2 linked regions of the Caenorhabditis elegans genome follow. The protein of the gene in region 2 purifies or fractionates together with the protein of the main gene of each other region. This does not show direct contact. Each region holds a gene or a part of one and is shown on either strand. Other genes may lie near its edges.

What was found.
Region 1: the proteins of hadb-1 (region 2) and Y80D3A.8 fractionate together in Caenorhabditis elegans (co-fractionation; one large-scale study listed by BioGRID). This does not show direct contact.

What each region holds. Positions count from the first base shown.
Region 1 is NC_003283.11:18,938,650-18,946,749, reverse strand, and holds the start of Y80D3A.8 (Protein-tyrosine-phosphatase), read right to left. Parts: upstream 6,110-8,100; coding exon 6,082-6,109; intron 6,035-6,081; coding exon 5,954-6,034; intron 5,543-5,953; coding exon 3,112-5,542; intron 2,994-3,111; coding exon 2,493-2,993; intron 2,445-2,492; coding exon 2,321-2,444; intron 2,095-2,320; coding exon 1,859-2,094; intron 1,816-1,858; coding exon 1,698-1,815; intron 154-1,697; coding exon 1-153.
Region 2 is NC_003281.10:8,685,847-8,690,340, forward strand, and holds hadb-1 (putative 3-ketoacyl-CoA thiolase), read right to left. Parts: upstream 2,321-4,494; 5' UTR 2,318-2,320; coding exon 2,146-2,317; intron 2,097-2,145; coding exon 1,637-2,096; intron 1,580-1,636; coding exon 1,255-1,579; intron 1,188-1,254; coding exon 798-1,187; 3' UTR 513-797; downstream 1-512. Other genes in the region: anmt-1 (Nicotinamide N-methyltransferase), read left to right, coding at 1-274, 394-480; B0303.4 (transmembrane and ubiquitin-like domain-containing family 1 protein), read left to right, coding at 4,115-4,156, 4,268-4,402, 4,489-4,494. UniProt on the Caenorhabditis elegans protein: Mitochondrial enzyme that catalyzes reactions of the mitochondrial beta-oxidation pathway.

The sequences.
Region 1 (8,100 bases), on a different chromosome or scaffold from region 2:
CTGAATTCCGTTCCAACGATGCTCGCGCATGTGTTTCAGAGCTTCAGTCAGTTCGATTGTCGGATCGGCTTCAACTTGACGGGCAAGACACTCGGTTCCAATGAAGGCCATGGATCTTCCGATTCCGTTCGGGCATTGCACCACGATTGGCTTCTGAAAATCAATTTTATTGAATATCGGTGGATACCGAGTCATATCAATTTTTGAAACTGATTTCACCAAATTTCATTTACTATTGACTAGCAAATCGGAGATTTGCTAGGCTTCGCAGTTTGGCTCGGCGTAGAGTAACTCAAGAATAATTCGCTTTATTAATGTTTAGCCAAGTGTTGAGTTGAACCGGCCAAATTAATTTCCACTTTTCAAATCGCACTTAACGGTTCCCTACTGTTTCTACATGTATTTGGGCCTGCGGCCCTCATTGTGAATTATTGGGCTCAAAATAAGCTTAACAGTTGTCCAACGCTTCTATGAGTATTCGGGCCTGCGGCCCTGAACCTGAATTATTTAGCTAAGAATAGGCTCAACAGCTGTCCATCGCTTCTCAGTATTTTTGGGCCTACGGCCCTCAACATGAATTATTGGGCTCAGAATAGGCCTAAAAGTTGTCCAACGCTTCTGCGTCTATTTGGGCTTGCGAAACTCGAACTGAATTATTGGGCTAAGAATAGGCTTGACGAATCTCCAACACTTCTTTGTGTATTCGGGCCTGCGGCCCTCCGTATTATCTGACCTTTCCAAAAACAGACGTAGTTATAGAAACATACGTCTCATAGAAGGCCTCCAGCCTGCTCTACTGGGAGTAGGGATAGAAAAGGCCTAAAGTTTTTAAGAATAAGAGGAAGGCCTTCATCCCTGGTTTTTGGGTTTGAGTGAAAAACAATAGCATTGCAGGCCTCCAGCCTCCAGCCTGTTCTGCTGGAAGTGAGGTTTAAAGTGGGCAAAATGACCGAAAAGTGCGGTCCTCAATGCGATTAGAGAAACATTCAAAATCTCGAAAAATCTTTAGGATTAAATTCTCCTCACGTTATAAAAATAAAAAATGAAAATTATCGAATTCATCCCCAAAAATAGAGAAAGAGAGAGAGTGGTAGAAAAGTTTTTCACGTTTAATCAATCTTTTTGATTTTGCAAAAATTGAATGATGGCCTACATTTTGGAAAGTGGGCCAATTTTTTTCAAAATAGTTTCAAAAAATTGGAAATATGAAGCTCTCTCTTGCGCACAAATTGGAACCAAATGTCAGAAAAACTGAAGATTTGGGACTGAAAAACATAAAACTCTTCAGTACAAAGAAAATATTCAATTTTAGCAGTCTCCAGAAACCCGCACAAATCAGTGTGCTACCCTTCCCAAAACCAATCCCCTCAATAATGACCATGGTGGGGCAACTATTTTTGAGTCATTCGCACTTAGTGAATGCAAAAGCGCCAGCTATGAGCCAAGTTATTAAAGCTCAAAGTTTGTACATTTTTGTCGGACACTCACGTGTCGAAAAGTTGCCCTCATTTTTTATTTCTGTCAAGAATGCAATTTCGGGATTTAATATAGGAAGAGGCAGATTTTTTTCGAAATTATCGATTTTTTATGAATATTTTTTTTTGTTTTTGTAACCTTTCATTATTCCATAAGTTTCAAATTTAGTCCAATAAACTAAAAAATTCAAAATTATCGATTTTATTCAACAAAAAACCAACCTCGCTTTTCTTCAACATCTCCATCAGGTCAAACATTTCAGCATGACTCTTTGGAACTCCACGTGCAGTCCATCCTGCATATTGATAATGCATCACAGTTCTCGTCGCAAGTTTTCCACTAAAAATCGCATTTTCATTTTAGAAAAAAAGGAGAAACTCACGTCGAATCGACAACTTCCAGTGTTCTTTGATATATTTTCTTATTCAAAATACTTTTCCCATCTGTAATCTTGATATTGAACCGTCCGATTTTGAACGGCTCAGAAATGTGTGGTGGAATGTAGTAGTCACACTTGACAATCAAATTCTCCATGTTTTGACCAAGCATTACAATATGTTCAACGTCGTATTGCGTCAGCATCATCCAAAAATCATAACGTGTATTCTTCAGCGGTCCCTGAAACAATATATATTTTTACAAAAACCAATAATTACCGAAATTATGAAAAATCAAAATCGATGATTTAGAGTAATGGGCACCTTTTTAGGAGGTTCCGTTCGTTCTGTGAAATCAACAATTGCCGCTTTTCAGAAATTTGAAACTTGCATAGTGTTTTTCGTATGCCTACCCTACGTGCCAACATGCAAAAATCTTGGTAAGTACGTGCGCTAAGTGCTCATACCTGAGTAACAATGAAGCGGTGTGGATGACCAGGTGTCGGAACCCAGTTGGCATGAATTGGGACTCGCTGGCCATTGACAATCACCTTGACAGCGGTTGATGGCTTACATGGTAGAGTGGGGTATCTGGAAAAAAGGATATAAAGAGACTATAAATAAAAATATAAGGAAAACCTGTGCTTATTCTTGGGCAAGTATGCATACGACTCAGTGATATGATCTTTATCAATCGTTGTCACATTCACATTTTCGATCGTCGTATTGTAGAATTTGGCCGTTTTATGATTATCTTTGAAATCCATACTCTTGGTCCATTTTTCGATTCCTTTAATCTGCTTTTTCCTCTGTTCCTTCTCTTTCTCTTCATACAACCTCTTTTCTTCCTCATCATCCTTCTCTTTCTGCTTACGTCGGGCCTCGGATCTCTCCTCTTTCTCTCGAACTTTTGCATTCAGCTGTTCAATCTTCTCTTTATCTTCCGCTTCTCTCTTCCGCTGTTCCTCCACTTCTTCTATCCTTTTCCTTTCAGCAATAAGTTTCTCTTCCTCTCTCTTTCGTTCCTCTTCAGCTTCTTCCTCTTTACGCTTCTCCTCTCTTTTACGATACCAAATAAAAACTATTCCACCAATCACAAGAGCAACAAGAATTAAGACCACAGGAATGACAACGGAAAGTCTGAAATATAACATTATTAGTGTCGCAGTATATATAATTGTTTGTTAAAACACTTCTTAGAACATTTGAGTTTTGCTATGAAATTAATTTAACAACTCAAATCGGAAAATCACTTGACTCATCGCTAACAGTGCTCACAGTGCTTGATCCAACAACAGCAGCTGTTACACCAACAGTCGGTCCAGTACCAGTATTACCACTCGGACCACCACTACTTGTACCATTGCCAGTACCTCCTGTATTGACACCACCACTATTACTCTGAGGATTTGGAGGAGGAACACTGATTGGCTGTTGAGAAGCAAAGAACAATTGCAAAAAGTTATCAAACGACTGGAATGCTGATGGAACATTCTGAAATTGTGTTGAATGACTTGAGAACTGCAAATCCAACACGGCGATCTTGTCGAGAGTGGCTTTGGCGGCAAGTAGATCAGATTTAGTGTCTCTTTTCTTTCTTCTTTTTACAGAGGATGCAACAAGTGAACTAATCAATATCTCCAGTGCTTTCGACTTCTTTACTGCATCAATCTTAACATCAGGAATTGAAGCCAAGTTCTGCAAAGGTGTACTGTAGCTGGATAGTGTTTTGGCTTTTGATACATCAATCTTCGACTTGAAAACTTTTGACTTTGCAATTGCACCTTCCAATGAGATAATGTCATCATTGTGGCTCCCCCAGAGACTTTGCAGTTCAGATTTGTTACTAGACTTGTCAATTCCGACTTTTACAATTCCATCGACACTTTTCAGCTGATTAATTGAAGATTCTAGATCCAAAAGGCTAAAAACATTTCGAAGAGCACTTGCAGAAATACCAATTCCATCGGATTGATTCAATGACTTCAGAGACATCTCATTCAGCTGAAGTGTCACATTCTTAACACCTTTCTTCATTGCATCAGGAATTGATCCAACTGTTGGAAGAACAGTGGAAAACTGAGCTACTGATGTTGCAGTTTGTCGAACACTTTCCAATAGATTATCATCCAATACTCTCAACTTCTGAATTGTCTTAATAGCTTCAGAGATCACCAGAGATTCGTTTTTAACATTCTGAAGACAGCTGTTAACATTATTCTCGGCATTGATAACTTTTTGGAAGTCTTCGTCTTTCTTGAATTCATCTGTTACTTTTGGAAACACTGAATTTCGAAGACTATCCAATCGAACAGCATTAAACTGAGTCTCGATACCTTTCACACTTTCCTGAATCTTTATCAAACTTATATTGTTACTTCTTATGTTCTTCACAATTTCGATCACTTCCATCCTCGATTGTGTCTCATTATTGATATCAGTAAAATTCAAGGATTCTACAAATGCAGCAACGTCCTTCTCCAACTGATCCAAGTCAAGCGTTTGGGTGAAATTGTCAAAGGCAGTCAACCAATCACTAACAGTTTCCACGTTGTTCATGAATTCAACTCCTTTTTTACGATAGTCGTCTGAATGTCCGTTTTCGTTACAACCCTCATATTTTTTCACAACATCAATGTAAGAATTAGCATTAACTGGAATAAAGTACGGCTCATCCTTAAATTGTTGGAATTTTGTACGCTCTGGAAAAGTGACCTTCAACTTCTTGTTGACAGCTTGCAAAGTTTCAAAAGCAGAGAATATTGGTTTCAAGCTTTTCCGAATACTTTGTCCATCCACTTCAGTTGCATTTGTCATCTCAAAGAACCACTGATTTTTTACATCATCTGTGAGTTGTTCCAATCCAATTAATTCAAGTGAGAATCCAGAAGTGTACTTTCTTGAAGGAATTGAAACCAGACGATCGGAAAGCTTCGAGACAGTCATCATATCACTTCTAGATGCTTCGTTAACTGCACTCAATGCGGATACCAGTTCAATATTAGTTTTAATTGCATCTTCTACTTTTTTCGAGTACAATGCAATGTAATTCTGACGAAGAGCCGAGAGTTTGATCACTGTATCCAATGACTTGAATATATTGGGTCCATTGTGAAGGATATCAAATGATGTTCGATTGAGTGTCTTGATTTCTGTGAGAAGGACTTTCAATGATTGGAATGTCTCATTGAATACTTTCAATTTTGCCGACCCAGTGATTGGAAAAGATGTATCCTTTAAGCTTGATTTCAAGATACTTGTAATGTGTTCATTAAATCCATCAAACTTCTCTGCTGTACTTTCAAACAAAGAAGAATTGAAATCTCTTTGAAAGTTTCCAACTGCATTGAAGTATTCCACACTTCCAGTCAAATTAGTCACATCACCAATAAATTCGGACCTGAGACGATAGTCCTCCCACTCCAACGCTCGTTTTTCCATAGGACTGATCTCATTATTAGCAGCAGCACTCTGTCGGACCTCTTTCAACTTCTTGATCAACTCCAAGATCTTATCAGGTTTATAATTGATTAGATCGGAAACATTGGCAGATCCTAAATTAAGCATCTCACCGACAACTTCATTAATCGGAATTGATCCATTCATTAATCCAGCTTGCAGGGTAATTCCGTTAGCAATGTGAGCTATGATGGTGATGTGCTCGAGGTAGTCCGTTGGTTTTGTAGATTCTGCAAATATTAAAATAATTATCATTACACATGTAACTTAAAACGTTATTTATTCTCACGTGAAAAAATCGATAATCATTTTTGAAAAATCAATAATTTCCCTTCAAAAATCGATAATTTTTCTTGAAAAATCAATAATTTCCCTTCAAAAATCGATAATTTTTCTTGAAAAATCAATAATTTCCCTTCAAAAATCAATAATCATTTTTGAAAAATCAATAATTTCCCTTCAAAAATCGATAATTTTTCTTGAAAAATCAATAATTTCCCTTCAAAAATCGATAATTTTTCTAGAAAAAATTCATAGTCTTGTTTGGAGAAATCAATGGCGTCAAAGAAAGCATTCACCAATTGAGCTCAAAAAAACCCGCTGACAAATAGGTACTAGGCAGGCACTTAGGCAACACATACCTTTTACAGAATCAGTGGTGTCCGGTGGGTCAAGAGTGGTGCTGTTGAAGGCATGTAGCTTGCAGAACATGAGAAGAAGTACTGAAAATATTGATTTTATGTGGTTCTGAAATATTACTCAGACTTACCGATTGCGAAAGATTGAAAAGTGTTCATCTCGCTCCGCTTGCTTCGTCCAACAATTTTTGATATTTGCTGTGAAGTTATTGATTATCGATTGAAAACTGATTGATTTGTTGTTTTTGGTTTTGATGACAAATCAAAGGTCAACGTTGGAGGGTCACGTGAGGTCATTATTTATTTTTGTTTTCAACTTTTGAAAATGTCATATTTTTTTCCGTGATTTTTTTAAAAATAATTTATTTTTATTTTTAATAAATGTTCATTTTTAGAAGCTTCATAAGGAACACTTTTTGTTGGAAAAATCATGATGAGTACCCCTATGACAATATACCTACATCCTATATGCCTACCTCATGGCTACCTATTCATATACCTGCCTGTCTAGTGCCTATATTATGCCTAGCTATGTCTTCTGGTCCATTTGCCTCATGGTTATCAACCTACACGTGCATGGCTACATTACAGCCGCCTACGTTCTGTTTGTCTATCTAGTGCCTACTTATATGCCTACTTCTTGCCTGCCTACCTATCCAATGTCAACAAACGTGCCTATTTTATGCTTGCCTGCCTACCTATTCCCCTCACTACCTAGTGCAGCCTAGTACCCTTGTACAAGCCTGCCTACGTGCCTACTTTATCACATTTGAAAATCTCTGAAAATTTTTAAAAAACAATCGACTTTAAAAAAAATAGTTATCCACTAAATTTCCATCTATTTAACCTCCAAATAGCCTATATTTCACTTTTGCCCATTTTTTGCCGGTCTGTTGCAGAAAATATCGATTTTTTTCAAATTTGGTCAAATATTGACAATATGGGTGTCAAATTGACGGAAATTGGATGAAAAATTCAAATTTGTACAAAAATTTAGCGTAAACACGTTAGTTTTCAAATTTTCGAAATTTTGAAAAAATTATGACAAAAAAAAAAATGTTTCCAAAAATTTTCAAAATTTTATTCTTTTTATTCTATATTTTGTGTAATTTTTTTTTGAACTTTTCATACAATTTCGTTTTGTTAATGTTTCATTTTGGGCTGAATGTAGGCCGAATTTCAAGTCAATTCAGGATTTTTGACAAAAATAGGCAATAAGCAAAAATTCAATTTCGCAATAAAATTTAGTGTCATGTTTCAAAAAAAAATAAATTTTTAAAATTTTTTTTCCATAGATCCAAATTTTGTTTTTCATTATTCTTTTAAAATGAGTCATAAAATTCCGTTCAAAGACAATAGTTCATCAAATTGTGAAGTGTTGACCATTTTATGTTATTCCAAACATCTCCAGACACCACGCGGGGCGAGTGACGTCATCGGTGGTCAAATTAGTGATTGAACAGTACAATTTGTATTACATTAATCATGTGATCATGTTTTAATAGTATTAAGCTGTTTAGCGAATCAGTGATCATTTGGATCTAGTGTAAGCTAAAATATTACACTGTGAGTGGATTTTGTATTCCTTATATTCGGCCAAATTTGAAATTTTTCAAAAATTCCGGCAACAGATCGGCAAAAATTACAATATCCCCGAATATAGGCAATATGTAGGGTAAAATTATGAAGATCAAGTAGGAAATTAAACTTTTTAAATGAAAATCGTATTGTCCATTTAGGCCAAAATTGAAATTTTTTTTTGGAAATTCCGGCAAGAAATCGGCAACAGATAGGCAAAACGGACGGAAAATTAAAATGTTTTAAAAATACTGAAGTTTTAACACTTATTTTATAGAAAATTTCATTTTTTTTTCTCAAAGTTTTCATTAATTTTACACCCATATTGCCTATATTCTGCCAAATTTAAATTTTTTTTTCGAAAATTCCGGCAAGAAATCGGCAACGGAACGGCAAAAATGACAATATCCCCGAATGTAGGCAAAATTGACGGAAATTGTGTCTAAAATTTTAATTTTGTTCTGAAAAATTCACAAAAACCAACAATTTGAAGCATTTTTGAATTTTTAGAAAAATTACAAATCGATATAACCGGCAAAAGATGGGCAAAAATGAAATTTCACGGAATATAG
Region 2 (4,494 bases):
TGAATCTCCGGTTGTTCAATCAATTGTCTGGAAAGAAAATGAGCAAGTTCAAGTTCCAGACAAATTTCAAGTTGTATCAACTGTCTTCTGTCTAGAGTATTCATGTGAAACTCTTGAAGCATATTTCCGGGCGGTACGAAGTGCGTGTTCCCTTATTGATGAAGGTGGTATTCTGATTCAAGGTGGTGTTCTCGATGCAACGACCTACAATTTTGGAGGAAAAACATTTCGATGTCATCGGCTGAAACAAGCACATATAATTGAAAGTCTCAAGGTAAATTGTATTTTTGAAAAAAGTGTTTTAAAATATTATTCTTTGAAAAAAAAGATCCACCAACAAGAGCAAAAAATTTCAAAATGTTCCAAATTATTCTCCCAACCATATGATTTCAGGCAAATGGTATGGCGACAACTGCCGAACAAGGATATAAATTCATTACACATGACGACATTTTCTTACTTGTATCGAAGAAACTTTAGTTAAATATTTTTTAATTTGTTGTGTTTTTTTAAAAATATTTTATAAACTTTTAACTATTCAGTAAAGTTAGTACCACTTCCTTTTTGGTGATGGCAATGATGGTGATATTTGACAGAATATCGAAAAGGAAAAAGAAAGTGTTCAGAAATGACCAGTAGAATTACGAGGAGACGAAAAGGCACGACAACCGCTACAATCTATACACATAAACATTTAAAAAGAGAAATACGGGAAAATGGCAGAAATGGGAAGAATAAATAGTTGGGACAATCACTAATTTATCATACAGAAAAGTGGGTTTAAAGTAACCTCGAGTTTACTTTCCATAAGCCTCAATGAGCATTCCAACTCCGTGACCTCCAGCAGCACAGGCTGCAATTACAGCGTACTGTCCCTTCTCTTCCTTCAGTCTGTGAGCTGAATGAGTTGCAAGTCTCACACCAGTGGCTCCGAATGGATGTCCGATTGACAAAGATCCTCCCCACAGGTTGAGCTTGTCCATTGGAACTCTTCCGAATTTACCAGATCGTTTCATCTGCTCTTTGCAGAAGTAATCACTGTCCATCGCGTTCAAATTGGCAAGGACTTGTCCGGCAAAAGCTTCGTGAATCTCAAATACATCAACATCCTTAAGAGTGAGTCCTGCCTTGTCCAGAAGCTTTGGAATGACGTAGGCTGGAGAGAGCAGGAGCTGATCTTTTGGATCCTGAAATATATTGGAAATTAAAAACGCTCGAAAGCTACTAAAAACAACAAAACTATTATAATCTTACCTGTGCAACATACAAATAGTCTCTCAAGTAGGCTTTTGGCTTGTATCCGTTGGCAAGAGCATACTCCTCAGTCATGATAAGAGCAGCAGAAGCACCATCGGTCAAGTAAGATGCGTTGGCAGCAGTCACAGTTCCGTGTGGCTTCACAAATGCTGGTTTCAGAGATGACAGCTTCTCAAGAGTGGATACACGAATTCCGTTGTCCTCTTTGATTGTCTTTGGCTTTTTTCCGTCTAAGAATACTGGAACAACATCAGTGAATTTTCCATTCTTAGCTGCTTCCGAAGCAAGAGTGTGGGAGCGGATTGCGAATTCGTCTTGTTCTCTGAAAATAGAAATAAGTAGACATTAATTAATTTCCCAGAAATTTAAGGAAAATTACCTTCTAGAAACATTGAACGCGGCAGCAAGTCTGTCTCCACTGTGTCCCATTGTCTCACCAGTTGAGAACTCAGCGACCGCTGGCAGTTCAGGAGAAAGCAAATTTTTGACAATTTGTCCTCCAATCTTCAACTTCGATGGAACATCTTTTGCTTTATTCATTCCCAACATAGCCTTTCTGGCGTTTCGATTGTAACGAATTGGCACATCAGACAACAATTCGACTCCTCCGGCGATGATTGCATTTGCATTTCCAGTGGCGAGCATTCCCATTCCAGTGGTCATTGCGACATTTGATGAGATGCATGCAAGAGTGACAGTGTGAGCTGGGATCTTATCTGGAACACCAGCGAGAAGAGCAGCTTCTCTAGCAATGTTACTGGTCTTGCATTCTTGAATAACTGTTCCACAAATAATGTGATCGAGTTGTTCATATGGCAGCTTTGTCTTCTCCACTAGTGCTGAAAAATGAAAAATTAATTTTCCTTATTTACAAATTTCTATACAAACCCTTGATAGCTTCTTTCTGTAAGTCAACAGCCATTAAATCCTTGAAAACAGTTCCAGAAACGACAAATGGAGTACGAACTGCATCGACAAGTACAATATTTGGCATATTTTTCTTGGCGACTGCCGAAGCGGCACGAGCAGTCCCGAACGAAGTGCTAACTGCGCGGAGCATCTTCTGAAAAGAAATCAGATTTAATTTTGGAGGTGGTTTATTTTTGAGAATAAATCTCCAAAGAACAAAAAATGCGTTCAAGAAAATAATTTAACGTACGAAAGAGAACAAAAAACAAATATGGAATCAAATTTGGTTCGCTACGTGTACTCTTATCATTTCATCATTGCCTACGGACAGAAGGGGACAAAGTATTTTCCCTCTCCTTTGAAAGAACACAGCAGAATAATTTTACACCCTTTCTTGATTTTTGAGAATATTAAACCAGACTTACTCTATTTGAAACGACAGCAGAACAAAAGCAACGGATCAAAAAATGAAATGAATTTAAATAATTTCTACATTGAAAAACCAAGAATTTAGAGAAACATTTAAAAAAAAGAAACGTGGCCGATCAGAAAAGAAAAAAATATATACTACAAAGTTCACAAAAAAAAATTCTTAAAAGCTGAAGAAAGAAAGTTCAAAATGTTAAAATCCAAAAAGAAATAATCAAACTAGAAAACAAATACACAATCGATAGATATAGTGTAGGTCACCAACACACAAGATAATAAGTGATGAGAGGAGGAGACGAGACGAACACAACAAGAAAACCTGGCTGTTGTGGCCTCCCATGCGCCGCCCGTCCGTCCGTCTGGACTTTGTACCTTGATAAATTCTCTATGTAGGCTACGGGTAGATAACTAATTTTACAGACACGAGGTGCAAATTGAACAGGAAAACGTGGTATGGGTTTGGAAAAAGGCAGGATGGGAAAAATTACGGGCAGTTTAATTTGAGCTGAGAGAAAGTTATTTGAAGGAGGACGAACGGTTCTGGGTTTAGCGCTTGTATAGGCTCAATATGTGCCAAAATAAACGAATTTCGTATTAAGACTTCTCAAAAATGTATCAAACATTTCTCGGTGGTTCAAAATAAATATAATATTAAACTCCTAAATATTTTACACATTTTCTCGTTTATCTCAAATTATTTCGTTGGTTAAGTAAATTTTAAGCGTAGAGGAATGCAAATTTTGTTAGTCTTTTGTTATTTTAGTATATTTATACAAAAAATCGAGGAAATATCAAATAAAATCAAGATATTCTGATGAAAAATGTTGAAAAAAAAGTTTTGATAAATAAAATAAACTCTCGCGCTTATCGGGTGTACTACGGTATTAAAGGCACATAAGCGTATGTCTGACGTTGGGTCTCGCAGCGTTTGCAATAACCAGCTGGAAGGGAGAAATGGAAATTAAATTTTTTTTAACGAAAAGATCTGTTCCATTGTTATTTTTCTAGTTTTTTCCCACTTTTTCTCAAAAGTTTTTCTCTAATTCGAATACTTTTCGTTTAAAAGTTTGCCAAATTCATTTTGAGGTACATAAATTAATAGCAAAATCACAAATATCACAACAAATACAATTAATTCATTTTTCCTTTCTTTTTTCACTTCACTCAACACCTTTTTCGATTCTTATCTTCTTTCGAATTCTTTTTCTAATCTACTCTCTCATTTCGCCTCTTTATAAATACTACTTTCTTACAGGCTAAATAGTTTTTTTTCACAAAAATAATTTCTGAAAAAACAAATTTTAAATTCTTTTTATAAAATTTAACAAAAAGGTTGTTTTCCTAAAAAAGCGTGCAATTGCCCGTCGATTAGTGCGCTTTCACGTATCGATTCTCTGCGCCAAGGAACATTTTAACCAACACGCTTCTCTTTATTTCTCTCAGTCTCTCAAGCATCATCTGATTTCATATTATTCTTCACTTTATTCTTCATTATTCCAGACAACACAACTAGACAAAAATGAATGCATTAATTGTTAAATCTGCACTCGAATATTTAGAGGTAAGTTGAACATTTATTGATTTTTTGAACCCTTTTCCCATTTTTTCATTGTTATGAAAAAGTGTCAAATTGAAATTGTTTAACTTCAAATCTAAAAAAAACTATTTTCAGCTAAGCACAGTCGTCGCAATATTAATCATCATAGCATGTGCACTTTTATCATATCAAATCTCTGCTCGAAGGCCTTTATATTATAACTTATTTGTTGTAGAAATGCACACTTGGACAACTAGGAGGATGGTGCAGGTAATTTTATTTAAATATTAAAAGAAAAAAAAAACGAAAAACACTATTGGAAAATTTCGAATAAATTTCTAAACTTCAAAATACAGGTTCTT